Notamacropus eugenii: one gene and its partners. The protein of the gene in region 1 purifies or fractionates together with the protein of each later gene. This does not show direct contact. Links are inferred from orthologs where the notes say so. Each region holds a gene or a part of one and is shown in the gene's direction. Other genes may lie near its edges.

Region 1 (8,149 bases):
ATTTCTCCATACGCACATTCTCACCATTGTTTTCATCTTAGAAGGTGGGGAAAACTGCAACAGATAAGGGAGGCAGTGACGGGCATTGAACTTGGAGTCAGAGTAAGACGGCCCTCATTCCTTACAGGCACTGGCATAGCCCAAATCCCACACACACTATCCCTGCTGTCCCTCCCTACACAGACACACTGTGCCTACTAAGCTGCCTCCCTGAAGGCCTAGTCAGCAATCAGACGCTACACCTGCAATAGGAGAGAACTGGGTTAAGTACTAGAAATGTTTGTCTCACATGTACCATCCTAGTAACAGACCCTTACCTCTTATCTGGATTATTGCAATAGTTTTCTAACTAACTTGTCTCTCTGCCCAGTGCCTCTCCCCTCTCCAATCCATCCTCAACCCAGATGCTTAATGTACTACAACATTTATTGAGTATGAACTCAGTACATAAACTTCAGGATCAGATATGAAGTCCTGTGTTTGGCACTTACCGATCTCCACAACCTGGCCCTTTTCACTCCCCACACTCCAGTTTTTGCTGTTCTCCACAAAAAACCCAACTCATCTTCCCCTCTCTCTCCACCCAGGCCTAGCATGCTCTCTTGATCCCTTCCACCTCCACTTACGTGAGGATCCAGCCACATTGGCCTTGCTTGCACACAACCCTGTGCCTTTGGGTTGTCTGCCTAAAATGGCTCCCCTCTCCCCATGCCCCACCCCACTCTCCCACTCCCTCACCTCCTGGCTTCCCTGGTGTCCTGCAATATTCAATTCAAATCCCATCTTCTGCAGGAAACCTTCCTGGGTCCCCACCCGCAGTTACTGAAGCCTTCCTTTCCTCTGAGATTATCTTTCAGTTTTACACTGTATATGATTTATGTGTACCTAATTACTTGTTTTTGTTTGTTTTTTTGGAGGCAATCAGATTAAGTGACTTGACCAAGGTCATACACCTAGTAAGTGTCTGAGGTCAGATTTGAATTCAGGTCCTCCTGACTCCAGGGTGGGTGCTCTAGCCACTGTACCACCCAACTGGCCTTGTACCTGGTTAGTTACATATTGTCTCCCATTAGCTCCTGGAGGACTGGGACTGTTTTTGTCTTTCTTTGTATCCCAAGTGCAGCACAGTCTGGTATATATAGTAAGTGCTTAATAATTGTTTGTTGACTATCATTAGCAAACAGTTTAAACTTAAGTAAGAGGGATTATTAAGTTAGTCATGAAGAAGTTCTTGAATGTGAGAGATTTGAGTCTCTTTTTGGAATGGGGGAAGGAAAGGGCAAAGGTTAGGAAGGAGTCTTTAAAAATAGGATTCTCCAGTGATTGGGATGGGGTAGGATATGGTCCTGTTCAGAGACAGTTAGATGAAATGACCTCTCTGGGTTCTCTTCCTTAGCATGTCCCTTCCCTGGGCCCTTTTAATAAATTCTCCCTAATGAGAGGAGAAACTAAGGGAAGAGTGGGAACATCCTGGCCAAGGAGAGGAAAAGATGGATCTCTTCCTGGTTCCTCATCTCAGTTGCAACAACTCAATTCATTTCAGCAACAAGATTTGACTTGACTTAAAAGCAGTGGTATGCTGGTAAATGTTTAACTTGGGGATGGGGGGAATACATCAGACATACTATTAAGTTTAATCTGCCTTAAAATTTTCTCAGTTTCTTAAATCTAGACAGCCAACAAAATAATAAATCGATGAAACAAGTCCCGGTTTATAGCATTTGCTGATTTCTGAGGTATAAATGTTCACACTGAATACTGAGAAAAATCGAGGGCCAGTTAAAGCTGGTACAAGCTCACGTCAACCTTAAAGACACTTCAGTGCCTGGCATTCGAGGCTCTCCACCATCTAGCACCACCTTCCCACCTTCTCTCATGTACTCTCCTCAACTGAACTGAACCATTCCCTAGGCTAGGTGCTTTCTCCTTCTTCTGTCTCTAACCTAGTTTATCCTCTTGTTGAATTCCTACCCATCCTGTATTTGAATATGTATATATGCAAATAGGAATATACGTGCAAATATGTGTATGTGTGTGTGTATATACATATATGTATATGTATAAATTATTAATGCTTTTTGCCCTGCCTTTACCACCAATCTTTTCCCAACCACTAGATACATATCAAGCTCTCCCTTATGACTAAAGTAAATAAGGGAAAAGGTCTGATACAGAGACTGACAACTTATAGAATATTCTGTTCTAAAAGCCCCCCTTATTCTCCTTCATTAGTTTTTGCATTACTCCAAGTTCAATTTCATTTTAAAATTAATTTTTTACAATCAGCAAAAATCCACCTTTTCTCCCTCCCAACCCAATACTTCCCCCTACCCTGCTTAATGAAAAAAAACCAAAACTCTTGTTACCAGTGTGTATAGTCAAGCAAATCAGATTTCTTTTCCTTATCCTGAAAATATATGTATCTCGTCTTGCACTCTGAATCCTTCACCTTTCTATCAGGAAGTGGTTAAATGTTTCATCATTAATCCTCTAGAATAACGATTGGTCATGAAAGTGATCAGAGTTCCTAACCTAAATCTTCCAGAGTTTGGCTTTGCTGGATTGTTTTCATTGTATAAAATCTCCTGCTTCTCTGCATCTGTTCATACAAGTCTTCCCAAGTTTCTCTGAAACTATTCCCTTCATCATTTCTTCTAGCACAATAATATCCTATTATATTTATATACCATCACTTGTTCTTCCATTCCCCAATTTAGGGGACCCCTTTGGATTCCCATTCTTTGCCACTGCAAAAAGAACCATAGTTTTTTGATGCATCCTTAGAGTTTGTTTTGCTTAGGACTAATCCGTCCCTTAATGTACCCTCCCTATAATTCCTCCCTTTCCCTTCTCTTTCCTTCCTTTATCTATTGGGTGAAATGTATTTCTGTACTCAACTGTGTGTGTGTGTGTGTGTGTGTGTGTGTGTGTGTGTGTGTGTGTGTGTGTGTGCGTGCGCGCGCGCGCGCTTCTCACCTTTGACCAGTGCAGATGACTGTAAGGTTCAAGTGTCAGTCACTTCCTCCACTCCTTCCTTCTTGTTTGGATAGGTGCCTATTTGCACAATCTGATTATGTTAATTTTCCCTAACCTTCCTTTCCCTTCCCCATCATCTCCTCCCAATCTCATTTCTTTCCATTCTTCTCTTTAAGAACCACTCTCAGGCCTTGTTTAATGATACTCCCTCAATGGTCCCCTGATGATAATAGGGTTATGAGGAAACACATAGTGGCATCTTCCTATATTAGAATGTAAGTAGTTCAGCTCTGGTTAGCACTTTATGCTTATTCCTTAATGTAGAATCAAGGGTAAGAAAACTGGAAAGGTCAGATAGGACCAAGTTGTGATAAAGTTCAAATGGCAAACTCAGGGTCTGTCATCTGGAAGTAATAATTGAAGCCACTGAAGTCAGTGTCAATTTAGGACCTACATTTTATTTGTCATTTCTTACAGCATAATATGATTCCATTACATTCATATAATTTTTTTAAAAATCTTTTATTTAATCTGTCCATCCCAGAAAAAAAAAAATCAAGTCCCTCATACTTAGATGCCTAATCCAGCGAAACAAATGTTCCCATTGAATGGTCATGTCCAGAACTATATTTTTCTTTGAGTTCATCACCTCTCTCTCAGGAGATGCCGTGTTTCCTCTTCACTTGTTTGGATTTATGGTCCATCACTGCATTGATTAGATTGCTAAAGCCTTTCAGAGTTTTCCTTTTTTCTGTGTCGCTGTTCTTGTACAAATTTCTCTGGTTTTGCTCACTTGACTGCATGGGTTCATACAAGTCTCTCCAATTTCCTCTGAAGCTGCCCTTTTGGTCATTTCTTATGGCGCAGTAATGTTCCATTACATTCATATGTCACAATTTGTCTAGCCAAGCCCCGGACAGGATGACATCCTCTTAATGTCCACTTTGGGTCTCGCACACAAAAGAGCAGCTGTCGATATTTTTGAATGTATAGGTCCTCATCTCTCTTTGGGAATCATAGACCTAGTATTAGTACCACTGTGAGATATGGGGTATATTTATGATGTAGTAACTTGGGGACATAGTTCCATACTGCTTTCCAGAATAGCTGTGCCAGTCCATATTCCTAGCGTCTCTGCTGTCCCAGGGCCCTCCACATTTGTAATTTCCCTCTCCTGTCATCTTTGTCCATCCATCTTTTTACCAGTCATTCCTCAGTCTGTGGGACCCTATATGTTTCCAGTTATTTGCTCCTCCAAGCAGTACTGCTGTGAATATTTTGGTATATTCTGTCTTTTGACTCCCTTGCAGGGATATGTTTATTGGCACCTACCCATTCTTTAAGGGCCAACTCAAATGTAGACCTCTCCATAAAGTCAAGATACTTTGCCCACCTCTTAGGCACAAGCTCCCTGTGGGCAGGGAGCAGGTATTTTAAAATGTCGAATCTCCCCTAGGGCCTAGCACAGTTTTCAGCACAGACTGGGCACTGACGCTAAGTGCCCAGGGTATGTTAAGCTGGAGGGGTCACAGCCCCAGGCCGGACGTCACTAACTAGGACAGGAGGGCTGCTGATCCGTCCTGTTTATCGGCTCTGGGTGTGTGCCAGCCCCGGCTGGGAAAGAGGGAGGAGAAGTGTGTGTCCCACTGCTGGGAAACAGGAAGCCAGAGGCCGTCCAGGCCTGACCCCAGGCCCAAGAGCACCGACGGGGCCTGGGAGCGTCCTCGGGTGGGCCGGGGGAAGGGGGTGACCAGAGGGACCCCCGGATCCGATGGCCGTGGTCCCCCACGCCCCCGCCCTTGGCGCCAGCCCAGGGAGCCCCCACTCTCCTGCTCCCCAGAGGGGCCCCGGCAGGGTCTCGGGGCTCTCCCCGTCCCTCTCCTCTCCTGCCTGGGTCTCGCTCAGTCTTCGGGAGAAGGTGGGGAGAAGAGAGGACTAGGGGGCGGGGAGCGGGGCGAGAAGTGGGATTGGAGCCGGAGCGAGGGAAGGAGGGAGCAAGGGAGGGAAGGAGGGAGGGAGGGAAGAGGGAGCGAAGGAGGGCAGCCCAGCCCAGCCCAGCCGGGCCGGGCATCGCAGCGAGCGGGGACCGGGCAGCCGGGGGGCCAGCGGAGCTGCACTGGAGGCGCCCGGCCGGGGGGGTGCTGCGGTGGCGGGCCCCTCCTCCCTCCGCCCCCCGCTCTCCGCCCCGCCGGCGGCATGGGCTGGGCTGGGGGCTCCCCCTGCTGCTGCCCCCCGCGCTCCCGCCCCGCAGGACGGCCCCCCAAGGTGAGTGGGCGGTGGCTGCGTCACGGCCGGCCGCGGGCCGAGCCGGAGGAGGGGAGGGGAGGAGGGCGGTGCCCTGGGCGAGCCCCTCGGAGGGGGCTGGGGGGAGGGGGACCCCGCTTTGGAGCCCGGCCGGGGGGGCAGCCCCCATCCGCCCCCACCTATAGCAGCCCACAGCTCGGAAAGTTGGTGCCACCTCCGGCCTTAGGAGGCAGGGCTTGCGGGCCCTCGGACTCACGTACGCACCACTGGCACACGCACACACCCCCTCCGGGCACAGGTACGCCCACCCACCAGCGCACCTTCGCGCTGCCAAGCCGCACCCTTCAGTGCACTGAGGTAGCGGCCCTCCCCAGACTGGCAGCCCCTAAGTGCTACCTGGAGGCAAGTATGCCCCGCGGACACACCCGGCGGCACCGGCAGTCCGGCGGGAGGAAAGTTACCCTGGGCCCGAGACGTAGACACGTCCTGGAGGGTGGGTAGGGCTTCCTTCCCCCTCCCCTTCGTGTTTGTGGAAACTGAGGCAGGACTGAAATTACACATCCCCAGCCTTCTTCTGGCACAGCTCCCCAAACCCCGCCAGTTCCCCCAGTCCCCTCATTTATTCCCCATCCCCGGTTATCTGGTTTCTCTTCTGCTCCCACTCAAGATCCCCCCCCATCCTAATTAAGACCTGATTCCTTCCCTCTTTCCTTGGACCTTTCACCCTTTCCCCCTCCCCTCTAGCCAGGCCTGGGCTTCCAGCCTCTGTATCCAACCACAGCTATTTCCAGGAGGGGGGAGTAAGGGGTGGAGGGGGCTTCTCCAAACAAACCAAAGACTTCCTGGCCCAGCATATGAGGGGGCCAAGGCAGGGGAGGGAGGAGGCAGGCAGACACTGGAATGTGGCCAGCAAGGATGGTTGGGGGGGGGGGGGAGCAGTGGGAGAGCAGAAGTCCAGCTGAGAACTGAGCTGCATACCGGCTGGGGGGCTAATATTCCAACTTCTTCCTACCTTAACCCTTAGGTGCCCACACCATACAATATGGCAGGGAAATGAGATTTCTCTCCTTCCTGCCCCACTCGTCTTTTCCTCTGCAGATGCTAATCAGGGTACCTTGATGATCTCCAATCACTTCTATAATGTAGGGCCTCTCTTTTCACGCCCCTACCAGCCCAGAAAACAAGGAGGAAACTGAGGCCTGACCCAGAAGAATTTTCTCCCTCCATTTCTAACCGTCAGCATAGATGGTTAAGGTAGAAGAAGAGTTAGTGTTGCCAGACCTACAGAGATTCAAGGGGAGGGATATTGGAAGGTTTTAGCTACAGGCTGCCATGAGCCAGTGCCAGGGAGGTGAAAGTAAGACCCCTTAACAGGAGGATGGCATTCCAGAAGGGAAGTTAAAGACAAACAGGGGAGGGCCCCACAGGTACAGTCCAAGGTTTTAGGGGCTGACCAAGGGAAAAGGAGAGATTCAACTAAGGGAAGAGGAGAGGAGCTAGAAAGAAAAAAAATCACCTGCCACTCAGGCTTCTTGGTGCCAGTCTCTCCCTAGGATACAATATCATGCCAGGGTCCTACTTCCCACATTGATACAATGTCTGGAATGTCCTGAAACCTGGCCAGACTTAGTGGTGGAGGTGGGGGGAGGGGGGGGCCAAAATCCAGCGCCTGCCCTTTCAAATTTCAGGGCTGAGAAACTAGCCTCCTTGGATGTTCAGTCCTTAGTCTAAATTCCCTGTTTCTGCCCGACATCCTGTCTGGAAGGGCCATCGGTAGCTGAGCAGATGCTCCCTGAAGTAAGAGGCGTTAGGGCACTGATTCGATTTAGCAGCAGCACTCAACCCCCTCTCTCAATTCAGTTAGGAAGTAAATATGAAGGAGCGCAATTTTTTGTAGAGGTTCCCTAACCCCCTGAGGTTAATATCCTAGTGGTCTACTCAGGAACAGAGGGGGAGAGCTAGTCAGGAGTGGCATGGGTAAGAAAGAAATAGAGCTCAGGACCAGGATCCTGAAGGACGGGCCAGTCCAACGGGGAAACAAGGGGTTCACATGGGGCAAGCAAACCCTTTCCCCCTTTCTAGACTTTCCTCATCTGTAAAACGAGGGAGTTAGAATAGAATAGATACTTCGATAATTCAGTTTAATTCAGCAAAGATTTACTAAGCGTCTACTGAGACAAGAACACTGTTAACTGCTGGAGGAGACAGTTTAGATAAGTCAAGGTATCGGCCTCCTTGGTGTTTACAGTTTAGTAAACTAAACAGACCCTAAGGTCTTTTCCAGTCTATAGCATTCTGTACACAAATTCAATACCTCGCCCACATAAAGTTTGGGGACAGCTATGGTGGAAGGGATGGGGTGAGGAATTTCAAGGGAAAGGGGGCAGGGACTGGGAGAATCTGAGGTAGGACGGAGGCAGTCAAGGAGGACTTGGGCAGATGCTGACCTACAGTAAATACCATGCAAACTAGATGCAAATGAGGGAGGGGGTGACACATTCTTTCTGAGTAATGATTGCTCAGGTCTTGGGAGTTCAAAGGTTTCAGGTTGGGGTTAGGGCAACGCAATAGTTAATCCTGGAAATCCAGGTCTTGAACCCCTCGTATTCAAGGACAAACTTGGGGTTTCTTCCATTCCCCCTTTCTGCCCCCCACCTCCACCCCATTCCTGAGACAGGAAGCTGGCTGAATTCCCAGGAGGCCGGAGGCCTGTGGTAGTGAGGGGAGAGAAGGGGAGGGTGAAAAGGAGGGGGAGAGGCTCCTGTCCTGTCCTCCTGGGCTTTGGAGCTGAGCTGGGTGAAGAGAGGGGAGCGATTCAGAGGGAAGCCATGAAGGTGACAAGAGGGAACGGGGTGCGCTTGATGGGGAGGAATAGGAGAGGGCTGGAGGCTGAAAGGAGTGGTGAAAAAAGGTTGAAATGGGTTAGACA
Region 2 (8,236 bases), on another chromosome or scaffold:
CAAGGTTATTCAGCATATCAATGAGAGAACTAGAATTCAAACTCAGGTCTTCAGGATTTTAAATTAGTAGGTTTTTTCACATAGTTTCTCATTGTTCTCCAGAGTCTATGTCTTTGCCTTAGATCCTGTTATTTTCTTCTTAACCTATTCCATCTCTTAGCTGTTGTAATGTCTCCACTCTCATACATTCCTTGCATAAATCCTGTCAATCCAATAAAGATTATTCCAAGCCCATCATAGAAAACTTCTTCAAGCCATATTGATATGAGTTGCTCTCTTAGTCCTTTGAACTCCTACAGAACTTTATATCTCACTTAATTCATTTTCTTTCTATTAGATTTAGTTGTTCACATGTTTTATCTTCCAGATCAGATTATAGTATTCCTTGTCTCAATGTGCTGCACATGGTCATTCACACCAAAGGTCTCATTCTATCCCAAAGGAGAACAGGCATCTTTGAGAGGTAATAGGTTGCCTCTCAATTGAGCCCTTTAACCAAGTGTGGCTAAATGACCTGTGTATTCTTCTGCTTTGAGCTAGACTTGAAACCCTAGGAGTTCTCTCCAATTCTGACATTCAGTGTTTCTATGAAGTCTTATTTATCTTTGTGACTCTCTCAGTGTCTCTTTTAGTTCCTTTCTAGAAGTAGAAAATTCATATTACATATCTGTTGAATGAATGAACCCCTTATCTGAGTTTCTTCAAAACTTATGGTTTGTTCCACCCAATTTAGCGCTTAATGACAATGTAATTTAATAGCCATTAGTTTTTTCATGTGCCATTTGGAACTTGGAATATCTCTTCCAATGGTAGGACGCAGGTAAATGTCACCAGTTCTTCTATTTCTCTTCCCAGGCAGTCCTACATCTCATTTCATTTTACTTATTTTCTTGATGAATTTGTAAGCTCATCAAAGAAGCAAGGGACAATAGGATGATATGTATATGATATTTGTTAATGAGTTAATAGTAGCATTTTGGAAGAATTTTTAGAAAATATTTTTACAAAACAATCTTGTTCCTGGAAAAGCTTGGTGGCACAGTGGATACAGCACTAGACCTCGAATCAGGAGGACCTGAGTTCAAATGTGACCTCAGATAATTACTAGCTTTGTGGCCAGGGGCAAGTCATTTAACCTTGGTAGCTTAAAAAAATCAAAACAAAAAACAAATACCTTCCTTATAACCCCGGCCTGCTCTGTTTGTGGTTCTCAGGGCAAAAGGAGATTGCTATATAGCTCTAGTCTTCTTGGTCTGATTTAAGTTGTTTTTTTTTTTTTAACATATCAAGTTTTATTTTATTTTTTCTCTCAAAATATTATGTTTTATTGACTTTTAAGTTTTTTATTATTAAATTATTTTGTTTTCAGTATTCTATAATCACTTCAATATATCTTAGATTTTTCCCCCTCCCAACTCCACTTTCCCCCCTCCCTTCCCACTCCCTCCCTGAGATGACATACAGTTATATAGGTTCTACACATACATTCCTATTAAATATATTTTCTCCTTAGTCAAGTTGCATAGAAGAATTAAAATGAATGGGAGAAACCATGAAAAAAAACAAAACAAAACATAACACAAGAGAAAATAGTCTGCTTCATTCTGCAATCCAATTCTATAGTTCTTCCTCAGGGTGTGGCAGGCATTTTGCCTCAAGAGTCCATTGGGAATTTTTTAGGTTCTTGCGTAGCTGTGAAGGGCTAAGTCTACCAGAAAAATTCCTCTCACACTGTGGTTGTTGCTGTGTACAAATTTCTCCTGGTTCTACTCCTTTCACTTAGCATCTAACATATCAAGTTTTTACATTAGGGATGTTAGTACCAAAAAGATCCCAAGGGAAATTGAGGAGGAATGTAAGTGTCCTGAGGACAAGAACTATCTGAACTTTTTCTTTATATCACTGGCACATAACATATAGTGAGCATTTCATAAATTCTTATTGATGGACTGAATAAATACTAACCAAGGATGAAGGCCAGAGAATCACAATATGCAACATTAGTCTATGTTAAATAAATATGGAGTTCAAGTCTTTTAAATCTGAAGTTATTGGCACATCGAGAGCCACTTGTATGTGGACATACAGTTTATGTCAGGTCTCAGAGGACCTTTTAGTGTTTCTTCGATATATTTAGAGGGCTGAATGCAGGGACCTATTTTCTGTTTGATATATTGATCCATAGGCCTGGAACACATATTCTCTGGGACAGAGATCTTGTTTAGTGCCCTTTAGAATCTTAGAGGTAGAATATATAATGTTGCTCAGACTTTTCCTTTCTCCTCACTGCCAACCCATACCTACCTAACGGTAGGCACAGCCAGTCCATTTAGTGTGAAATGGAAGTATTACATCTATTGTAAGAATACTTATTAGCAACAGTAAAGCATGTGCATTTTAAATTATAACAATTCATATTTCATTTTCTCTTCTATAAAGTGTTTGACAAATTAATTAGTGATTATTCTGTGAAGGTACGTAATAAAAAAAGACATAATTAGTGGTTAAAAAACCTTTCTCCTTTAGTCACAATTTTGTTCAATCACATCTTTTTTTCCTCTTTCTAAACTACTCATTTAATATTGTAAATCATCTGATGCTTTTTTTCTTAGTAATACAGATTTTCCTCCCTCTTATTGAATATCCCTCATTCAGGGATGTCCCAAAAGTCTAAGTAAGCTTTGAAATCTTTTTTTTTAAGCTTAAAATTGCTCAATGAATCTTTGGGAACCTTGTTTATAAGTAGTATTTTTCTTTCTCCCAGTTGTTGGTAATCATCAGTTACTAGTCCCAGACACACACAGGAGTTGCAATGTGTGGACAACACAACCCCTTAACACATGACATTAAAACATCTTCTAAGCAATTTTGACATTTGATGTGTCCTTTTAAGTCTTTTTTCCCCCTTCAATTTGCTTTTTAGGATGGTCTAATCAGTCTTCACACACACACACACATACACACACACACACACACACACACACACATACACCCTTCAAGCTGATGTATGCCAAGTATTCTTAATAAAGAGTGTCTTTACATTTTAATAATAGAATTTTTATTTGATTCACTGTTTCTTGAAGGTATAATCTACAAGTCATTACCATAGATCAAAATTGTTTTCATTATTATTTTTGCACTGGGACAGTTTTCCTTGCCTTTTCCAAGTAAATTTATGTAAAATTACTAGGAAGTAAGTACCAAAGAAACAACATTGAGATTCTGATCTTACAAATTTTGAGATGTGGATAGTGTCCTTGATTTCAGCAATGTACATACTTCTACCACCAGCTCAGATTTTAATCCCTCCTTAAAAGTCCTCCCAGACTTAAATTGTATTAATAGGCATTTCAAATGAATTTTACTCCTAAAGGGTAAGGGGACACCACAGGATTTTTAATACTGGGTTACCTTATTGCATTAAAAACTAGTCTATTTATCTCTCCTATCACCCCCATCCACCAATACAACCCCTTTCCCCCCCACACAGAGTTAATTTTGTTATTTTTCAGTAATTTCAGTTGTCTGATTCTTTGTGACCCCATTTATGAGTTTTCTTGGCAAAGATACTGGAGTGGTTTACCATTTCCTTCTTCAACTCATTTTACAGATGAGGAAACTGGGATAGAGTTAAGTGACTTGTTCAGGGTCATACAGCTGGTGAACCTGAGACCAGATTTAAAATCAGGGAGTTGAGTCTTCCCGACTCCTGGACCAGTGTTCTATCTATTGCACCAACTAGCTGCCCCACAAAGTTAATACTTGGTTATCAATTTGGTGAACAGAATATGGGAGTGGAAGGCAGACGTCTTCAGATTCAGGACCCAATCCACTGTTAAGGACATGATATTCAACACACCATTACCCTCCATGAGCTTCAATTTCCTTATTTGTAAAATGAGGATACTTTACTAAATCTTCTCGAAAGACCCCTTCAACTCTAACCTTCTATGATTTGCTGGCAACATCTATTGTGTAAATCAAAGCACAATTATTCCAGTTCTACACTGAAATATTTTTCCCTTGTGCTCAACCTGTTTATTTGAATGTCAAACAGAATGGCATTTTTTCTTGTTGTCAGTGAATAAATTTAAGAAAGAGTACATGATTAGGAAAGAAGTTTTAGTTTAACCTGAAACTTTAATGGGTTTCCCCAAAAAAGTTTATATTCTTTCATTTAAATGAATAACGCTCCCTGGGAGACATATTTTCACTACAGCTCTCTACTGCAACTTTCTCCTACTTAGACTCAACTCTGAATTGTTTGCATCATCAATTTATGATTTTTGATTGGATCCCAAGGGAAGTAAATTAATATTTGTAGTTTCTGGATACATAATTCATGCACAAATCATTCCAGGCATGCATTTGCATGTCAGTCAGAAAAAAGAAAAAAAAACTGCAAGTGCATTTGAATTGAAAAAGAGAAGAAGCTTTTGAAAATTTGGCATTGATAAGAATGAGAAAATTCTATGAATTTTGGGAAGATACTTAGAAATTATTGTTAGGACTTTTCACGACAGTCTTTGTGTATTTAAGAGGCACAGAGAGCAGTACTCTAGCTACTTTACTATTTTAGCTTCATTGCTAATCAGGAAGCTGTTGGTCATCTTTTGAATTTGTTATACAGTACATGCCATCCTGGAAGCACAGCCTTATATGTAGAGTTCATGGGCAGTCCTATTATGGGAAACCAACTTGTTTTGAGGGAAGCCCAGCTGCCTGCTTCTGCGCAGGTCCTGGAATTTGAAACATCTAGGGACCTCTATGGAATCCTGGCATCAGTTACTACATCGACTGACTCTTTGGGAGTTAGGCTCACTCATTCTCCCCTTACAAGATTCAGACCTTAGAAGCAGTGAACTTTAGAGATAAACTTCAAAGAAAACAGAGAGGGCTTTATTTATTTTTTTTTTTTGGAAGGTTACTTTGGCTTCTCATTTTTACTGACTCGCCTAACTCTAAAAAACCTACTGGAGTAATAAAGCTGAGGACATTTTCATTAAGATATTCCCTGTTGCCTTGATATTTTATTTTTGTCCAAATGATTTGGTATGAAGAAGCAGAAGACTGTTGTAAGTATAGACTAAAATAGTTTTATGATTTTTGTGTTTCTCATATAACTTTAAATGTCAAATATTATAAGAATTTCAGCTTAAGAAAATAAAATAGGTAATATAAATGCTCATGTATTGTGTACAATAATGAATATACAAGTAGTTACTTATAGGTAAATATACTGAATTAGGAAAACTTTTTTTCCAGTCTTACTGGACAATAATTACCAGTATTCAGAATGATCTTAAATACTTTTGTGTTAAAAGTAGAAGTAGTAAGGTATTAATATTTATATCAGAAGTTTTGCTCCCATAAGTTAAATTCCATGGTTGTCTATGTTTATTGGTATATACATATATGTAAATGTGTTAGTGTTTTTTATGTGTGACAGTTATCTGTAATATTCCCAGCTAATGTAAGAACTAATAAACTACCTTTCAAAAGGGAGAGGGAAGGGTCTGGGATAAAACTATGTATGTTTTAATAAGTATAGTGAGTTGAGATAGATTAGGACAGAATGGAAAGATTTATCCAGCCTTCTTTCTCTTATATTCCAGGATATCTTATTATTCTTCATTTTAAGAGGCTGTCTTCTATTTTCAGTTCTAGGTAGTACTCATGTATGAATTGTCCTAGAGTATGAAAGAATGCCTTCTGAACTGAGGAAATATCTTAAAACTTTTGGGAATTTTAACTATGCTTAGTAGTAAAGTTAGCTTAAAATACTGTTCATCTTTTATATCTGTGATGACTAAGCTGTTTTCACTCAGATACTTTTGGTTTGCCACTATTCCAAGACCAACTCTTTAGCATCTTTATTTTGAAGCAGATCATGGCTCCCTAGGTATTTTAAATTTTTATTGCAATAAGCAAATAAAAATGATGTATTGTGAGGACAATCTGTTCCAAAGAGATGGGTTGACTTGATTACCTAAGAGATGTGTGTGGTTGTTTTACTTGTTTCTTAACTCTTATAGATCTAAGATTATCGCCACTCTCAAATAGATTCAAGGACTGAAACTGTATTTAGGAGAGGGGAAATAACCCAGTAATTTCAATAACTGTTCATCAGTTTCAGGAAAAGAAGAAAAATGTTGCTGAGAAAACTTTGCGCGAAGGAATTAATGATTTTATATTGGTAGCTCCTGGTTTTGGAATGTATACACTTCATTACTTCCTTTTATTATTCTATGTAGTGTTGGAAATCACCAGGGTTGCATTCCCATTAAAAAAATTCTCTGAGTTAAATTAATTTTAAATAATGTATATGTTTGCATATATTACATACATCATGATACTTAATCTTTGATAACATATCAATTCTCTGTAAGAGATGATCTTAAATTAAAAGAGTAGTTAGAGGAAAAATGAAAATAAATTAATTTATAAATGTTTGTCAAAAGTAAGATATAGCTTATAGGCATGTATAATCATTTGTGGCAACTTATAATCTCTGATAAGATCGATAAAATTGTGAAATGTGAATACATAGTTATTAGAATATAAAAGAAAAAGAAAAAAAATCCTAACATTTAGACTATCCAAAAGTAGAATGAGCTCTGGTTAGAGGTAAGAAGTTCTCCCTCATTAGAATTCTTCAGATATGTTATGAATGACCACTTTTTAGGTATGTTGTATGAAAAACCTTGGTAGGTACAAATTTGGTTGAATGGTCCCTACTAAATCTAAGACTGTGATAAAGTGATTTAGAGCAGGAAGGGGCTTTAAAGGTTATATAATCCAATTCTATCATATTATGGATGAGGAAACTGGACCTGGAGAAATTATGTGACTTGCTTAAAGACACACTGTATTTGGCAGAGGGAGGATTTGAACTCAGGTCTTTTAACTCCAAGTCCAAGGCTCCTTAATGTGGCTATAAATATTATCTTGTTCTTACTCCTGTGAAGACTAGTATCAATACTCTATTTAAATTTTAAAGACTGTGTTCACTAGGAAAAGCAAGAAAGGTGTCTTAACATTTTATCTCACAGTTCAGTGCCTTAGTGGATGCACTATTTAATGGTGATAATAATATTGGAGATTCATAGAATAAATAAAAAAAGGATATTTATAAAAGGTTATTTTCTATAAAAAAGTATTACTGCCTTGAATCTCAATGTTGATCATCTTTTGAATACAGGATGAGAGATAGAATACAGAGTCATAGTTTTTCAACATTATATTTTGGAAGTTATAGGCAGGCTACTTACTGTCAGTAAAATTCACATCCAATTTAATCTGCTGTATAGCGTGCTTTTGTAATTTATTTTCCTAAATTTATAATCTGACAAGCTTTGAATGCAAGATGATGGTCACTCTCATCATGTACCATAGATTCTATTTACCTACATACGTGTAATAATTTTAACATGTATATAGAGTTCAGGTTTATTTTACATATATGATTTTGTAAATTGTGTATATATATCATCCATGAATATGTATGTTTATACACACACACTCATACATACATAAAGACAGACAGAGAGAGACATGGAAAAAAAGAAAGGGAGAGAAACATGATAGTTTTAGGAGAACAAAATGGAATTAAAACAGCATATTTATGGTATGTAAATCTGTTCTTCTGTCATGTCCTACTCTTTGTGACCATATTTGTGCTTTTTTTTCGCAAAGATATTGGGAATTGTTTGCCATTTCCTTCTCCAGTTCACTTTACAGATGAAGAAACTGAGGCAAACAGGGTTAAGTGACTTGCCCAGAATCAGACAGCTAATCAGTATCTGAGGTCAGATTTGAACTCAGGATGATGAGTCTTCCTGACTTCAGCCAGCATTCTATCCTCTGCACCACCTAGCTGACCTAAAGCATACCTACTCATTAAAGTGTATTCTTGTGGGGAAAGAGGTTTATAGACTCTCATGTTTAATCGTTCCCTATTATCTAAGTCGTACTAAAGTACACATTCATTAAGCAGAGGCAAATATGAAGTAGGACATCTCTTTCTGGCTTGAAGCCTTATTTTAAAACCTTTAAAATCTGTGTTCTAAGTCACTGGCCATATGTTTGACAAACTGTGAAGGTTTTATCCACAGCTGAGGTTTAATAAGAGAGATAATGAAATCTTTGTTCTCTGGGAAAGTCATGTGTTTTGTTTTATTTTTAATCTCTCCTCTTTGTCTTATCAACGGAGTAACACAAAGTAATTTTCTAGTAC
Region 3 (8,387 bases), on another chromosome or scaffold:
ACAAGGAGATAGCTTTGGACAGGTTAATAATCTTACTTTATTCTAGCCTAGTTTTCTCAAGAGGGTTTGCTAATATAGCATTCCCTAGTCACCCTTTGTATTGTTAATGTATTTTTGCATAATGGGAAGATCTTTCCCATCCATTAATAGGCCCACGTGACCTGCTTGAGTCACATGGAAACCTGAGTACCATGAGTCTGTGGTGGGATGAGCTTGCCCAAAGGGTGAAGCAGGAAGAGTGGAGCAGAACTGAGAGGAAGCTGGTCACAGCAGTTAGAGCTGAGGGAGAGAGAGGAAGCAGGCAGCAAGATGTGAGTTGTTCATTTGTGGGAAAGTCCTAGCAGGGGGAAGGCTTGGGGATAGTAGTGCCCCTTGTATTATTGTGTATAGATTTCTTTGTTGCTATGATGGATTTGGCTTTCTACTGTCTGTTATATTTTGCAATTCAGAATTATGCCAGCATATTCACAGCCCCCATAGATGCTATGAATATTTCCTTGGCTCTACACCCTTCTCACAAAGACCAGAGTGAAGGAGGGGCAGCTACCTCTACATCTCTCTTGATGGAGTCAGTCAAGACAGGCATAACTTGTGCACTCCCTTAAATCCCCGCAAGCCTCAGTGGGGGCCTGTTGAGGCAAATACAGATTCCCCACTTACTGATCAGTGCCCACCTGCTTTATAGGGCAACAGACAAAGAAGGCATATTGCTGACAACAGCCTCACAATTTTACATTATATCTCATTGTGCAGTTGCAGTGGGTATTTTCAGTTTTAAGCACAAATGTCTATATTATTTATCATTATGTAACGCTGCACAAGTGTGGTGGAGATGTTTACCTTGAGACACTGAGTGCAAAGCATGAGCCTGGGAAATAGAGATTTTGTCCATGGATCCTGAGGAACTGAACTCTAAGAAGAATAACAAAAATCCACCTTACACACGCTAAAGTCCACCTTACTTACTCTGTGTGACCCTGGGCAAGTTACTTAACCCTGTTTGCCTCAGTTTCCTCAACTGAAAAATGGGGATTATAACAGAACCTACCTCCCAGGGGTGTTGTGAGGAGCAAATGAGATATTTGTAAAATACTTAGCACAGTGCCTGGCACATAACAGACACTTTATAAATTCTAGCTATTGTCCTCATTATTGTTAATACTATTACTTCTAGGTTACTTACTCTCTGAACCTCAGTGTCCTATTCTGTAAAATTGGGATAATAATACTACCTACTCACAAGTTTGTACCAGTAACAGTATGTTGTCTTATATGAATGATATTTATTATTCTTATATTATTAAAGATAAAAAATTCCCTCAGGAATTTTCAGTTCACCTGAGGATCTCTGATGGGTATAGAGATGAGCAAAATACCAAGTGAGATGCATGGTTATACAATAAAAAAAAAAAATCAGTATTATGGTAAATAACCCATTAGATTCCCAAGGGGAGATTTAAACAAAAGGTACTGGAACAATTTAGTCAATAGTCAATAAACATTTTTTTAAACTATGTGCCAAGCACTGGGGATACAAATTAAAAAAAAAAAACCGTTCCAGTCCCTTAAGGGCATAACAGTCTAAAGGTAGAAAACATGCAAAATGAATCTGAAAAGTTGAGAGATGGTGAAATGGAAAAGCCAGAAATCCTGAAGTCATGCAGCCAGGTGGAAAATGAGACATGTATGTCCTAAGCAGAAGGTAGTGATGGGATGTGAATATCAAGGTTGATATGATCTTGCAGAATGATGAATCTTCCCAATGATGAGGTCCCTGAGGCATGGTAGAAAGTCAGAGAAATCCTAGCTGAGTGCAGCCAGATGAGAAATGAGATTCCAATTTGAGTAGAAACACAAGCTGGGGTAATCAGCAAAGCTAATAAATGACAACTGTGAAATAAGTGATAGAGACAAGAAGTGAATGCTCATTGACGGCATTGACTGATGGGCTCTTCCTTTGTCTTCTCTTCAACCTGCTAGGTGATTCCTAAATGTTCCTAGAATTCAATGTTCTTGGCGGTCAGAGGAAAGATGGATTTCAGCTGGGGCTAGCTGTTATAATGTTGGAAAAACCCATTAGCCTCCCAGCTGAAGCCTGAATTCTTGTGCTAATTCTCACACCAACTCCAATAAGACTTTTATAGTCCTCCTGGAAGAGGAAGTGGAGGACTCATTTTCCAAGTGATATAACTTAGATTTAAGGTCCTTTCAAGTTCTACCAGTCCAGGTCAGTTAATGGATTCAGTAGAATTTAAACCAAACCTTTAAGGTTGGATAGAATTTCTAGGGACACAAGAGGAAGACAAATATTTTGGAAGGGACTCGGAGGCAGAGAATAGTAAAGGCATATTTAAAGGGACAATGAATAAACCAGTTTAGCAGGTTCATTTAAGGAAATGGTGGGTAGAATAGGCCGAAAGGGAAGGCTGGGTTCAAATTAGGAAGGATATTGAGTGCAAAGCTAAAGTGTTTGCTGATATGGCAAAACTTCAAAACTAAAACTTCATGGGGAAGTCTACCAGAGATTTTTTAAAAAGAGAAGAAGCATCCCATACCATCCAAATTCTAACATTTTTCCCTCTACATCTCAATTTTATATAATTTGCCCTTCTGATCATCAAATTACTTTGTAGTTATCCTAATGGGCCTGGTACGTGCGTGCGTGCGTGCGTACGTGCATGTTGTATGTGTGTGTTTCCAGGCTGTGCAGGACGACAGGGCATATCTGGACCTGTTGCAGATCCAGGAGGTCTCTTTGCAGTGGATTTAGGGGGAGGTCTGCTTTTTTTAGCTTTGATGAAATTTACAACTTGGAAAATCCTGCCTTATTGCAAAACAAATCCTATTTTAATGATTTTTAGTAAGGTCGGAATTATATCTTAATGGGATTGATAAATCTCTGACTAGATTTTTAAAAAAACTAACTCTAAGACTTTGAGAAGGAGGTAAGAGGTATACAGGATAGAGCACTGGATCTGGAATCAGGGATACCTGAGTTAAAATCTGGCCTCAGACATTTAACAGTAATATGACAGTGGGCAAGTCACTTAACCTTTGTTTGCCTTAGTTTCCTCAACAACAAAATGGGGATAATCATAGCACCTACCTCTCTGGGTTACTGTGAAGATCAAATGAGAGTATTTGTAAAGTGCTTAGCAAAGCACATCATAGGTGCTTAATAAATGCTTATTGGGCTTATTTCCCATCCTCCTCCCTCTGAGACTGTTTGGATTCAGTCTCTACCCTCTACCATCATGAGGATGAAGACTTGTTGTTAGAAGTGACCACATGCATTTCAAATTCTAACTCCAACTCACTTTAGATATGTGATCCCCATATGGTCATTTAGCCTTTCTGAACTCATTTATCTAGAAAACTCATATCTAGAAATATTTTTATAAGTAAATACATTCATTTATCTATGAAATGAAGATAGTAACCTGAAGCATCTACCTTATAGATGTTATAAGGGTCAAATAAGAAATGTATCCTTGGTAAAAGGGAACTGGATTTGTGAGTTAATTGGTTTGGGGAATTCCCAGGTGTGGAAATTCCCTCTACCAAAGCAAGTTTTCTGCAATTTAACTGTCTTTGAAAGTTGCGTAGAGCACTGAATGATTAAATGAGGAGTAGGGGGGAGGGTTATGGTCTGTATGCTTCAGAAGTAGCACTTGAATTCAGGTCCTCTTGGTTTTGAGGGCAGTCTTGTATCCACTAGAGCATGCTTTCCCTACAAATATCAAGTATTATTCATTCAAAACACATTCTATCTGTAAGGCACTGTGTTTAGGTGCTAGACTCAAAAGACAAAATAAAAAAACCTACCCTTGAGGAACTTAATGGGGATTTATGAGGGGCGTTGGAGTTATGAAGATGTTAGGTTCACATTTGCTCTCTTAAAGTCTGTGAAACCCTGGTCATATCATTGAGTCCCTGTTCTTCTGACAACTCTACTTAATTCTACTTAAGTCCCTGGAGGGTTCCGTATTGGTGGAGGGAATTCAGACCCCTGGAGTTCCCTAAGCAGACAAAAAAAGTCACAGAATCTTCCATCTTCCAAGAGCACATGGATCCTTTGGAGTTTACAGGTGTCAGCATGTACTTTATGGACAGGCTCCATGAACAGAGCCTGTTTTGATCTCAATTCAGCTTTACAAGAATTATTTATTGAGCCCTTAGGATCTGTGGGAAATGTGTGAACCTCCTCTCTGGTGCTGGAGGCCACTCTGACAATCCGGCTGCTGACAATTCTTTTGTAGACCAAACCCTTTGAGCTGTTTGAGCTCAGAAAGAAGCTGCTGGACGTGGGGCCCATGCAACCCAATTTCACAGGCTAATAAAGAAATTACCAGAAGGAATTTTAATTTTCCCCAGTTGCATTTATTAAGACATCTGGCAGAAACAGATCAAATTTTTTTGTGGTTGAGGGCTAAGGAGACAGCTAGAGCCCAAAGCAGTTATTCTGTTTCCATAAAGAATAGCAGAACCCTGAATCTGGAGTCTGGAACGCTGGCTTCAGAATGTTCTAAGTGGTGCCCTGGGTGCAGCTTGGCTTCCCCTTCTGTTACTGCAGGGGTCAAAACAAAGTCTCTGCCAGCTCTGCTCTGACACTCTCAATTCTAAGGTCCCTCTCAGTCCTGACATTCTGTGTTCTGAGGGTTGGTTCAGCTCTGGGCTCTATTTTCTAAGGCCCCTCCCAGCTCTAACATTCCATGTTCTCAGTTCCCTCCCAGCCCTGACATTCTGTGTTCTATCTAAGCTTCCTTCCTGGGTCTGACAGTCCATGCTCTAAGTAAGTTCCCTTCCAGCCCTAAGCTCCCTTCCTGGGTCTGACAGTCCATGCTCTAAGTAAGTTCCCTTCCAGCCCTAAGCTCCCTTCCTGGGTCTGACAGTCCATGCTCTAAGTAAGTTCCCTTCCAGCCCTAAGCTCCCTTCCTGGGTCTGACAGTCCATGCTCTACGTTCCCTTCCAGCCCTGGTGTTCTGTGTTCTATCTAAGCTCCCTTCCTGGGTCTGACAGTCCATGCTCTACGTTCCCTTCCAGCCCTGGTGTTCTGTGTTCTATCTAAGCTCCCTTCCTGGGTCTGACAGTCCATGCTCTACGTTCCCTCCCAGCCCTGGCGTTCTGTGTTCTAAGCCATCCCGGCCGGACTTTCTCGGCTCGAAGAGCCCTCCCAGCAGTGACCTTGTGCTGGGAGATCCCGGCACCTTAAGCTCCCCCCGGGCTGGCCAGAACCAGTCTCTCCCCCTCCTTCCCGGAAGCGGCCCCGCCCCCGCGGTAAACGGAGGAGTGGGCGGGGCCTCTCATGAATAATACATGGTCGGGCCCGGGGGCGGGGCCTCGCCCCCGCAGGCGGGAAGGGGGAAGCGCCGGGACTCCCGGCTGGGAAGGAACCTGGCCTCGGCGGTGGCGGCGGCGGCTGTGGCGGCGGCGGGACCCGGGCCGGCCATGGCGGTGTGGACCAGGGCCACCAAAGCGGGGCTGGTGGAGCTGCTGCTGCGGGAGCGCTGGGTGCGGGTGGTGGCCGAGCTGAGCGGCGAGAGCCTGAGCCTGACCGGGGACGCGGCGGCCGAGACGGACCCTCCGCTGGGGCCGGTGCTGGCCGCCTTCAACGGCCTCCCCAACGGCGGGGGCGGCGGGGACTCCCTGCCCGGCAGCCCGAGCCGCGGCCTGGGCCCGCCCAGCCCTCCCGGGGCCACGGCAGCGGCCGCGGCCGGGGGCTCCCCGCCCGTGCGGCGCGTGCGGGTGGTGAAGCAGGAGGCGGGCGGCCTGGGCATCAGCATCAAGGGCGGCCGCGAGAACCGGATGCCCATCCTCATCTCCAAGATCTTCCCCGGGCTGGCGGCCGACCAGAGCCGGGCGCTGCGGCTGGGCGACGCCATCCTGTCGGTGAACGGCACCGACCTGCGCCAGGCCACCCATGACCAGGCCGTGCAGGCGCTGAAGCGGGCCGGCAAGGAGGTGCTGCTGGAGGGTGAGCGGGGCCGGGCTGGGGCGAAGAGAGCGGACCGGGGGTGCTGCTGGAGCGGGGGCCCGGGGGAGGCGAGCGCGGGACGGGACGGGGGGAGAGTGCTGAAAAAGGAGGTGCTGCTGAAGAGGGGGACCGGGGGTGCTGCTGGAGCGGGGGCCCGGGGGAGGCGGGGACAGGACGGGGGGAGCCGTGCTGAAAAAGGAGGTGCTGCTAGAGGGTGGGGGCCGGGGGAGGCGAGCGCGGGACGGGACGGGGGGAGAGTGCTGAAAAAGGAGGTGCTGCTGAAGAGGGGGGCCGGGGGTGCTGCTGGAGGGTGGGGGCCGGGGGAGGCGGGGACGGGACGGGGGCAGCCGTGCTGAAAAAGGAGGTGCTGCTGGAGGGTGAGCGGGGCCGGGCTGGGGCGAAGAGAGCGGACCGGGGGTGCTGCTGGAGCGGGGGCCCGGGGGAGGCGGGGACGGGACGGGGGGAGCCGCGCTGAAAAAGGAGGTGCTGCTAGAGGGTGGGGGCCGGGGGAGGCGAGCGCGGGACGGGACGGGGGGAGAGTGCTGAAAAAGGAGGTGCTGCTGAAGAGGGGGGCCGGGGGTGCTGCTGGAGGGTGGGGGCCGGGGGAGGCGGGGACGGGACGGGGGCAGCCGTTCTGAAAAAGGAGGTGCTGCTGGAGGGTGAGCGGGGCCGGGCTGGGGCGAAGAGAGCGGACCGGGGGTGCTGCTGGAGCGGGGGCCCGGGGAGGCGAGCGCGGGACGGGACGGGGGGAGCCGCGCTGCTAAAGGAGGTGCTGCTGAAGAGGGGGGCCGGGGGTGCTGCTGGAGGGTGGGGGCCGGGGGAGGCGGGGACGGGACGGGGGCAGCCGTGCTGAAAAAGGAGGTGCTGCTGGAGGGTGAGCGGGGCCGGGCTGGGGCGAAGAGAGCGGACCGGGGGTGCTGCTGGAGCGGGGGCCCGGGGAGGCGAGCGCGGGACGGGACGGGGGGAGAGTGCTGAAAAAAGAGGTGCTGCTGAAGAGGGGGACCGGGGGTGCTGCTGGAGGGTGGGGGCCAGGGGAGGCGAGCACGGGGTAGGACGGGCGTGGGGGGGAGCCCTGCTGAAAAAGGAGGTGCTGTTGGAGAGAGGGGACCAGGGGTGCTGCTGGAGGGTGCGGGCCAAGGTTGGCAAGCACAGAACGGGGGGAATCGTGCTCTAAAAGGAGGTGCTGCTGGAGAGGGGGCACGGGGTGGGGGTGGGGGGTGAACACGGGCTTTGGAGAAGGACTAGGGGAAGCCGCGCTGCCAAGGTCCTGCAGGACAGTGAGTGGGGGGACTGGAGGGAGCCGACGGCCGAGCAGCGCGTGGCTTCGACCAGCTCTGCCTACAATGTCCAGGACTTGGTTTTGCTCGTCTCCCCTGGAACTCACGCACCCTTTCTTCCTAGTAAAGTAGGTTTCTGGTCACCAGCTTGGCATTTTGGAAAACCCTGATGACTCTAGTTGGAAAAGTTCAGCCACAGCCGAAATGCTTTATAGCCCTGAAAATTCAGATTTATTTGGGGCAAGATGGGAACTTCTAAGTGTTTCCATGGGATACTTTTTCATTATTTGTTAAGGCTTGGCATTCTCCCCTGTATGACACCTTTTGGATTTAACTGGAGAAGTACAAGACCGCCGCCGCCTTCTTTTCTTACTTCTCTCTTCCCTAGATGGGTTTTTAAAAAATGCACGTCTGCTGTAGATTTGGGCATACCACCAAAATGCTGATTAATTTATGGGAATTTAACTCATCATTGACTCTCAACAATAACCCAACTAGATCTTAGCGTTTCCTTGAAAGGTACGAGACTGAAAAGGCAAGTTTGTTTAGTTAATGAGCCTTACTTTACAATGAAGGCACACTGAACTTGAAGGTTATTGCCAAGATAAGAGTTTTGCCCCTTTTGTTTAGTTTACGAAAGTCTGGTGCCAGTCTCAGGCTTGATTTTTTAAAAGACTTTTAAAACTAGAAACTTCAGGTAGAAAAACGAAATACAATAGTAGACTGGAAAGTTCAAAATTATACTTTATTAACTGTACTTATTACTTATGACAGGCTGCTTATACTAGTGGATAGAGAGCTGGCCCCCCAAACCTGGAAAACCTGAGTTCAAATCTAACCTTTGACACAGAGACTCTGACCCTGAGCAATGTGACTTAACTTCTTGGTGCTCCAGGCACCTCTTTTAAGACAGGAAAATTGCCAAGAAGGTGCTGACCGACTCTAGTAGAGGAAGTTAGTCACAATGAAATCACATATGTCTTATCCTTATTATTTACATACGTTGATTATTAATTTATATTTGATCCACAGTGTCATATAAACATAGTGTTGATGTAATGAAATGATTGTAGTAGACTGCATAAAAGTTGTGAAAGTAAGGCTAAGAAGTTCAAAATGAGTCAGCAGTACAACAT
Region 4 (7,866 bases), on another chromosome or scaffold:
ATTTAATTTTTATTCTGAATTTAACAAAAAATAACATTTTCATATAGAACAGAAAAAGGATTTGACTGTAAAACTGCACATCTCCATCAATATATTTTGCTTTTAAAAACAAGTATATAACTTTTTTTTAACATTATGCTTTCAAAATTATTTGTTTCATCTTTGTTTTCTTTTGAAATTCCTTCTGTTTTTCTGTGTGTACAATTAAAAAAATTATCCAGTAATCCTATTTTATTTTACCAGTTTCCCACCAAATTTCCCCAGTCCTCCAAAGAAAGAAAAATAAATACAATACTTGTCATAAATAAGCATAGTCAATGAAAACAAATATTCAGAGATGTCATACCTAAAAATCTATGTCTCATTTTGCATTTTGAGTCTATCAGCTCTCTGTCAGAAGAGTGGATAACAGTTCTACAACAGTCATCTGGAGTAATTGTTGGTTATGGCCTTGATCATGGTTCTTCAGTTTTCTAAAGCTGCTTGTTTTTACAGTGCTATTATTTTTCAAACATTTATTTATTTTTAGTTTTAGTTGGATCATTTCGCTACTCCACCAGCAATGCAATGAAGTTCCAATTTTCCCACATCTCCAGCATTTATCATTTTCCTCCTTTGTCATGTTAGCCAGTCTGATAGACAATTTGTGACATGGTGCTTCTGAGTTGTTTTAATTTACATTTCTCTAATTAATACTGATTCAAAGCATTTTTTATATGGCTAGAAATAGCTTTAGCTTTAATTACTTCATCAGAAAACTGCCTTACTGTATTATTATTGTAGAAAATGATTTTGTTTTGCTTAAAATCAATTCAGACAAGTTCATATAATACAGTAGAATTCTATCATGTTTATATGCCATAATGCCATGTATGTATACATATATTATAATTTCTTCAGTCTTCCCCAGTTGATGGATACCTTCTTTCCAGTCTTTGCTATGAGAAAGTGATCTACTGTAAATATATGTGGTAATAATATTCCAGTTCATATAAACCATAAGCTATTTGTTTGCCATCTTCCAAATAGTAGGTGCCCACATAGTTTCTAGTTTTTTGCTATTCTGTTTTTATACAAGTATCTGCCTTTGGGAATGGAGGGGGAAAGGAAATTAATATAAGTGAACGTTATCTCTAATACATTCTTAGAAAAGTTTCGCATATGTCAAACAGTTACCATAGTGAGGAGGCTAAAAGGGCCTTGCTAGGTGATATGGTAATGGCACCCAATGGCAGCGTTTACTTGAAAAATGTGATGGAAAGCTTCTTTTGTAGAGATGGTGAACTATTGAATATGTGGACTATTGAATATGCAATTAGACAGCATTGATGTGTTGATTGGTTTTCCTGAATTGCTTTTTCTGACAACCTTTTTAAATTTTTTTTTTATATTCTGGGATGTTTTACATATAAGAGGAAGGATAAATTCCGAAATTAAGTTGCTATAAGAAAAAAGAAATTAAAACATTAACAAAAAGGATTAAAGAGGAGGAGGACAGAATACTTTGAGGAATATTGCTTCACAAAACTGCAAAAAGAGGAAAGTGAGTCATGGCAAATTTAAGTCAAATTATTCCATGACCATATATAGATGGAATTGAAAGGAGAATAACAAATTGACATGAAATGGAACAGATCTGCTACTGTTTATAAAGTGATTTGTTCTCAGTGTTGACAACAATAGAACCACTAGTGCTACATAGTGAAGAGGTAGTTATTCCAAAAGACTAGAAAAAAAATGCATCTATTTTAATAAATTTAAAAAAAATATGAAAAAATTCTGTTACTATTTACCAACCCATAGACTATCTGCCTTTTCATTTTCCTAAATTTATTTTTAAAATAAGAATGGTCTGTGAATGCTCTTTGGTGATAATTTGGTGATAACATGAAAGATTTATTAATGAATTCTTATAGCAATCTGTATTTTTACAGTTGCTCCCTTGATAGCTCTAGCAAGCCCAGATAAGCTATATATTTTATTTTTTTAGTAAAAAATTGACTCATTAGAACAAGATGGGAAACAATGCATTTGTTAAAATTATATAATTGACACATATAACTATGTAGATAACTTAAAGTCAAGATCTCTTGACATGAGGCATAAAACAGAGGGTTATATTATCACTGTAGATGTGTAGCAATATCCCAGGGGATTCCCTACATACAAAGTCTAAGCAACATTAATAAAATCCCTTTTTGATGCTGAGGTTATCAGATGCTCTCATGCAAAGATCACAAGGTATTAATTATAGGCAGGTGCTGTACATCTTCAGCAATGAGAGACTGGTCTGAGTGTCTATCCGTGGGTGGGAAAGACAGCACAGGAGATTAAAAAACAATATATTGCCCCTATTGTGACCAGTGGCACAGGTTGAGCTGTAAACATCTTTATTTTGGATGGATATTCTAGGTGAACCTTGAACTGCCCTCAGAATTGAGGAGTGCGGAAATTAGACTCCAATGCATTTAGAAAAATGGTCAGTGATTTTGAATTGCTCAAGTCTAAAGCTCATTCCCTTCATACAAGCTCTCTTCTCCTCTCTTCTCCCCACTTCTTCAATTCCCTTGTCCATCACCCTCAGTAATATGTACTGTAAATCCTAGATACTTGGTATTGGCCACGTAGGGAGAATGAAAGAAAACAGTGATTGGCCAACTGCTATATTGGTGTCTGCATGGGAGGGCATGATGAGATAAAAGAAGATGAGGAAAGCCTCCAGTATTCTGGTTAGTTCTTTGATGAAGGGATTATGGGCAAGAATTTCACAGATGGAGAGTATGTGGAGCATTCATGATCTGTATTAGTAGAGACAGTATCTATCTAATAGGCTAGGGAATGTCAAATTACCAAAAAAAATATCAACTGTGTCCAGTATTTCAGTTATCTTAAGCTTTTTACCCCCATTTTGGGGGTGGAGTATGGAAAAGAAGTTGTATGAGCCTGGTGACATTTTGTTAAATGTTTTGGAAAACTGTATGGAACTTCTGCCGGTGAAGAGTATAGTAATACCAGCCAGCTCTTGCATCATTGCCTAATGATGTCTGGCTCCCTGTTTCTTTGTGCACTGATGCTTAATGTTAATGACTTTATTTTGAGAGTCTTAATTTCATTTGAATGCTGCACCTGTTGTGGGCTGTTCTTGCTGCATGAAATCCATAGCCCAAGTAACTCTCATTCACTTCCTTTTCCTCCCCCATATTTTTACTCTTTCCGGTGTAGAGGATGAGCAGATTAATAACTCAAAAGAAAGGACAACTTCAATGAAGGTCATGATTTTAGAGGTTTGAGGGGACAAGCCAGTCCTAGAGCACTTAACGTGCTGTTGCTGGGAAACTGGAGTCTGAGGTCATTTAAGAGGCCAAGCCTTGAATTGGCAGTTTGATTCTATGTCTCTGCCAGAATGGAGGGGGGTGGGGGGAAGAGGGATGGGTGGGATTCAACAGCTGTTGCTACCTGATATCTGAAACATTGCTGTTGAGGAACATGCATTTCCTCTTTTGCATTTGGACATTGGGTGCTCCTGTGAGAGAAAGAGAGGGGGAAGGGGGAGGGAGGAAATGTTACATAATACAGTTTACTTTTAGAAAAATGTTCTTAATTTCTTGGAGCTATCTTTTAGTCCAAGTAATTTAACATTAGAATTTGGGATGCTGTTTCCGACTTAGGATTCTGCAAAACTGATTTTGTACCTTAATTTCTTGATCCAATCAAAGTAGCAATAGGAAGGCAGTGTGGTACAATGACATGAGCATTGACCTTGGATTCGTGGGACCTGAATTGGAATCCTAGCTCTATTATTTTCAGTACCTGAATGACTTTGAGCAAGTCATTCAAGCCTTAACTTTCTGAGCCTCAGTTTCTCATCTGTAAAAACTGGAGAGGTCAGACTTGATCGCCAAACCACCTTCCAGCTCTAGAGGTCTTCAAGCAAAGGTTGGATAATCACTTGTTGACTGTGCTGTAAGGGGAGGCTGGGGAGGAAGTCTTGTTCAGCTATAGTTTGGATAGTACAGCCTCCTATAGGTCAACTCTCTTAACTCTTTCACTTCTTGAAGTTCAGTCATTCTGAACCCAGGGAGAGGAAATTCTACTCAGAGAAGCATCAGATGATGAATGTTTCTTGGAAGTCATCCTTCTTAGTGGAAGGAGAGGCTGTGTAAGCCATTTGTATTTTAGGCTTTAGTAGTGTGTTTGTCATTCATCTTACTCCTTTTTATGAATTTATGGCCCATGACTCTATTGATGTATTGAGAATTTCCAAAGTATGTTAATGAATAATGCACAAAACAGTGAGTGGGGTGCAATGGAAGGGATACCAGGTTGGGTTGAAGGAGGAGGTGATCAGAAATAAGTCACACCTCTTCTTGCTTCTGATTGCTGCCCTGTCAAATAAAATTTGTAATAACTCTTCTACTCACCTATGGGGATATTCTAAGGATCAAATGAGATAATAAATGTGAAAGAACCTTAAGTAATATAAAGGATTCTTCCAGTATCAGGCAGTATTAATATATATATATACATATATATATATATATTTTAAAAATATCACTATTCTTGTAGATCTTGTAGGGTGGAGATCAGTTATGTATTTTCGAAGGTGACTTAATGCTCTTCAGCTGTCACTACATTGCCTGCAATGGTATATATTCATGGGTGTGTTAATAAATGTTTAGCAACCAGATTGCTAGAGATATATATACTATATATAACATATATATACACACACATATATTTAACACATATATACACATGCTTTTCACTTATTAGTTTAATCTTCATCATTAACATTTTCTCTATCCCTTTTGTAAGTCTGAATAATTAGCAAAACAATAAATCAATCCCTAATTTGTAGTGTTTGCCAATTTCCAAGATTTAAATACACTGAAAATTCAGTAATTTGATAGCTGATTGTTGGTTGCAAGACATCACTGTGTTTATGTGACCTCAAAGGACCAATAGAACTCTGAGGATATCCCATAGAATTTTAGGTTTTGAAGGGGGTCTAGACTTCTAGTCTATTCATATAACTTGAAGCATAAGTCCATTCTGTAAGCTTGACATGTGTGTCCTTCAGGCAAACTCACTTATCATCAAGAAGTAAACCCAATACTTTGGATAGACTCCGAATTTTAGGGCTGGAAGATAATTTAGGGAATATCTATTCTAATTTCTTCATTTTGGGGGTGAGGAAGCTAAGACCCAGACCTGCCCGTGGTTATAACAATTAGTGAGGGAATGAGCAGCAAATCTAAGACTGGGAAACCACTTCTTTACTTTACTCCCAGTTACCCTGCCTCATGATGACTCAGACTTGGTTTTTTTGCCTTTTTCTTTTTCTTGCACTTCTGGATCTTCTTAATGACCTCTGAACCCAAGTTTCCAGAGCAGAAGCCTTACGTTTCCTCTCATATTTCTGTGTCCTCCTAGCATATATTTCAAAAAATGTATTGTTAACCCACCTCCTTCAGGCCATGTGGTCTCTTGAAAGACCCTCTCCAGTCTTCATATTTACATGGGAATTTGAATAATGTCAGTTATGGTTTATGTAAAAGTGACACAAACACACACCTATTTTATACAGAACTTTTCTCCTTAGCTATGTAGTATTAACACCTATGTCATTTCAATTATGCTAGGTTTGGGGAATAAAAAAGCAAAAATAGAGTCTGCCTTTAAGGAACTGAATGAACATTTTACCTGGGAGTGTGTATATATGTGTGGGGATTTGCTCTGTACACAGGTTGTGTGCTTTTCTAATCCTTACTTTGTATGTATTCATATATGTACATGCTGTTTCTTTTGGTAGAATGTTACTTAAGTTGCTTCATCTTTGTCTTTGTATCCAAAGAGCCTAACATAATGCTTTGCAAATATAGACACTTGTTAAATGATTGATTGATAGGGATTGAAGGTAGTGAGGGATTAAATACAGTGGTGTAGAAATACTTGAGAAATGGAAGATAGTATCAGCAGCATGTGAGATATGGGGACAGGGAGTCAGAAGCTTTCATAGAAGAGATGGTATCTGGAGCCCAGGAAGTGTGCATTGGAGAGCTGAACTTGGAATCATTTAATTAAATCATCTAGTTCTGTGGGCAGAGAGCCATCTGGTGATCATGTGGGTGGCATGAGTGGTCCTCGGGTTGGTGTGCTTAACCAAACCCACCAGGTAGACTGTATTTGCCTCCCTTGGGTATGATGGCAAATCTTTGAAGTTTAAGCTCATCCAAATTAGAATTCTTTGTTGCCCCTTTTCTTCATACCTGTAGCATTGAATATGCGTCTATGTAGTTTTAAATTAAATTTTGCGGCGGTAGGGGTGGGGTAGAGAAGAGACTGAGTTTCCACAAATACATACTATTGAGCCCCTTGCACTGGCACATAGCAAGTGCATAAATACGTGCTTATTGACTGACTAAACCTCTTCCATTTCTCCCCCATAAAGAGTTGCACTGGTGAATTGGTAGTGACAGGGGGATCTGGCTTAAGTAGCATCTCAGCTGCTGTTGCAGACTTTCCCTTGTGAATTCCACTGAGATCAGATCCTAGCTTCCTTGCCAATGACTGGCACCCATATACAGCTGCTTCTTTTGGTGGAGGAATGTCATTAGTCACCATAGACTTGGAGACGTTGCTGCCATTTCTGGATTGGTAATAGACTCCTTGGATACTCTTGACTTTTTCTGCCTGGGGAATGCCATGATGCATACTCCTGAAATTTTTTTTTTTGGGGGGGTGAGAATGGAGTGAGGATGTTGGAGTATCATTTTTCTATTACTGTTTCTGGGAAACTAGATATCAGAACTAAAAAAGAACAGAAAAAGAACTAAAAAATTTATCTTGGTCCATGAAGTCCTATAATTAAACTAGGAATTGGCAGCTTGTATAAGTCTTTATACCAGAAGAGAAGGATACATGGCTGTGTTAACTAAGACATTACCTTCATTTTCATTTGGGTGGAATGAATACTACCCCTTGCTCCTACCAATTCTGTATATGATAGGGGAAAAGTTACCACTGTCTCCAAATTTTTCTGCAAAAACAAATATTCTGTTGACTACAAGTCTTTAGTAAAAATTTAGTTAACTGTTTGTTGGATGTGGCATAGTTGAGAGTCTCTTCAGATAAAGCTTGAACAAGATGATCCCAGAGGCCCTTTTCTCTTGAAAATTTGGCACTTCTGGCCTCAGGGTGAGAATATCTTTCTGAGGGAAACAGTACCAGCTGATGACTGCCAGTTCTCCTTTCTCTGTAGGAGAGGCTCTGCGATCACCTATGTGTTTAGATTTTTGTGGTGTAATTGTTTTCTCTTAATGTTATTCCTCATGAAACTTTCTCTATTTACCTGGAAGAAAGGTTGTAATTTACTCTGGTGTGCAACTCCCAAGTTGCCTTCTCTATTAATTCATCATGCGCAGTAGATACCCTTGACTTTCCACACATGCTTAAATACTTGTTCATTTAAATTATGAATTGGCTCATTTGTCTTTTCCCTTATTATTTTTGAGTCTATACTATTTGTGTTAAATTGTAAACTCCTATGTAAGAAATCTGTAAGAAAGATGATTAACACAATCACCATTCATGATTTCCGAGGACTGATGATCAAATAAACATGTTCTCCATGACAGGAAGGTGATGGATTTAGGGTCATTTAGCAAAATACATCACTGTGAATATTTGTTAGAATGAGTTTCTTTTTTTGCCTCCTCTCCATCCCCCCTCTCCCCCTGCCCATGGTGAGAGTGTGTGCGGGAGAGTAAATGGGTTAAAATAATTTTTTTTAAATAGAGAGTTGAGGGATGTTTGCTACGGTGGTAGAATGTTGCATGTCCTTTTAGGTGAGGTCATTTTATTATT

Evidence for each region.
Region 2: the proteins of TNS2 (region 1) and DMD purify together in Homo sapiens (affinity purification with mass spectrometry; 3 studies listed by BioGRID and IntAct, with this or other methods). This does not show direct contact. The link is inferred for Notamacropus eugenii from reciprocal best matches to the Homo sapiens genes TNS2 and DMD.
Region 3: the proteins of TNS2 (region 1) and SNTB2 purify together in Homo sapiens (affinity purification with mass spectrometry; 4 studies listed by BioGRID and IntAct, with this or other methods). This does not show direct contact. The link is inferred for Notamacropus eugenii from reciprocal best matches to the Homo sapiens genes TNS2 and SNTB2.
Region 4: the proteins of TNS2 (region 1) and utrophin-like purify together in Homo sapiens (affinity purification with mass spectrometry; 4 studies listed by BioGRID and IntAct, with this or other methods). This does not show direct contact. The link is inferred for Notamacropus eugenii from reciprocal best matches to the Homo sapiens genes TNS2 and UTRN.

Annotation. Positions count from the first base shown.
Region 1 is NC_092874.1:225,880,949-225,889,097, forward strand, and holds the start of TNS2 (tensin-2), read left to right. Parts: upstream 1-4,660; 5' UTR 4,661-4,747; coding exon 4,748-4,894; intron 4,895-5,033; exon of another isoform or gene 5,034-5,172; coding exon of another isoform or gene 5,173-5,241; intron 5,242-7,963; exon of another isoform or gene 7,964-8,048; coding exon of another isoform or gene 8,049-8,054; intron 8,055-8,149. UniProt on the Homo sapiens protein: Tyrosine-protein phosphatase which regulates cell motility, proliferation and muscle-response to insulin. Phosphatase activity is mediated by binding to phosphatidylinositol-3,4,5-triphosphate (PtdIns(3,4,5)P3) via the SH2 domain.
Region 2 is NC_092876.1:441,925,741-441,933,976, forward strand, and holds the start of DMD (dystrophin), read left to right. Parts: upstream 1-4,952; 5' UTR 4,953-5,044; coding exon 5,045-5,075; intron 5,076-8,236. UniProt on the Homo sapiens protein: Anchors the extracellular matrix to the cytoskeleton via F-actin. Ligand for dystroglycan.
Region 3 is NC_092872.1:708,564,607-708,572,993, forward strand, and holds the start of SNTB2 (beta-2-syntrophin), read left to right. Parts: upstream 1-5,305; 5' UTR 5,306-5,316; coding exon 5,317-5,974; intron 5,975-8,387. UniProt on the Homo sapiens protein: Adapter protein that binds to and probably organizes the subcellular localization of a variety of membrane proteins. May link various receptors to the actin cytoskeleton and the dystrophin glycoprotein complex.
Region 4 is NC_092873.1:232,659,554-232,667,419, forward strand, and holds the start of utrophin-like, read left to right. Parts: upstream 1-4,629; 5' UTR 4,630-7,866.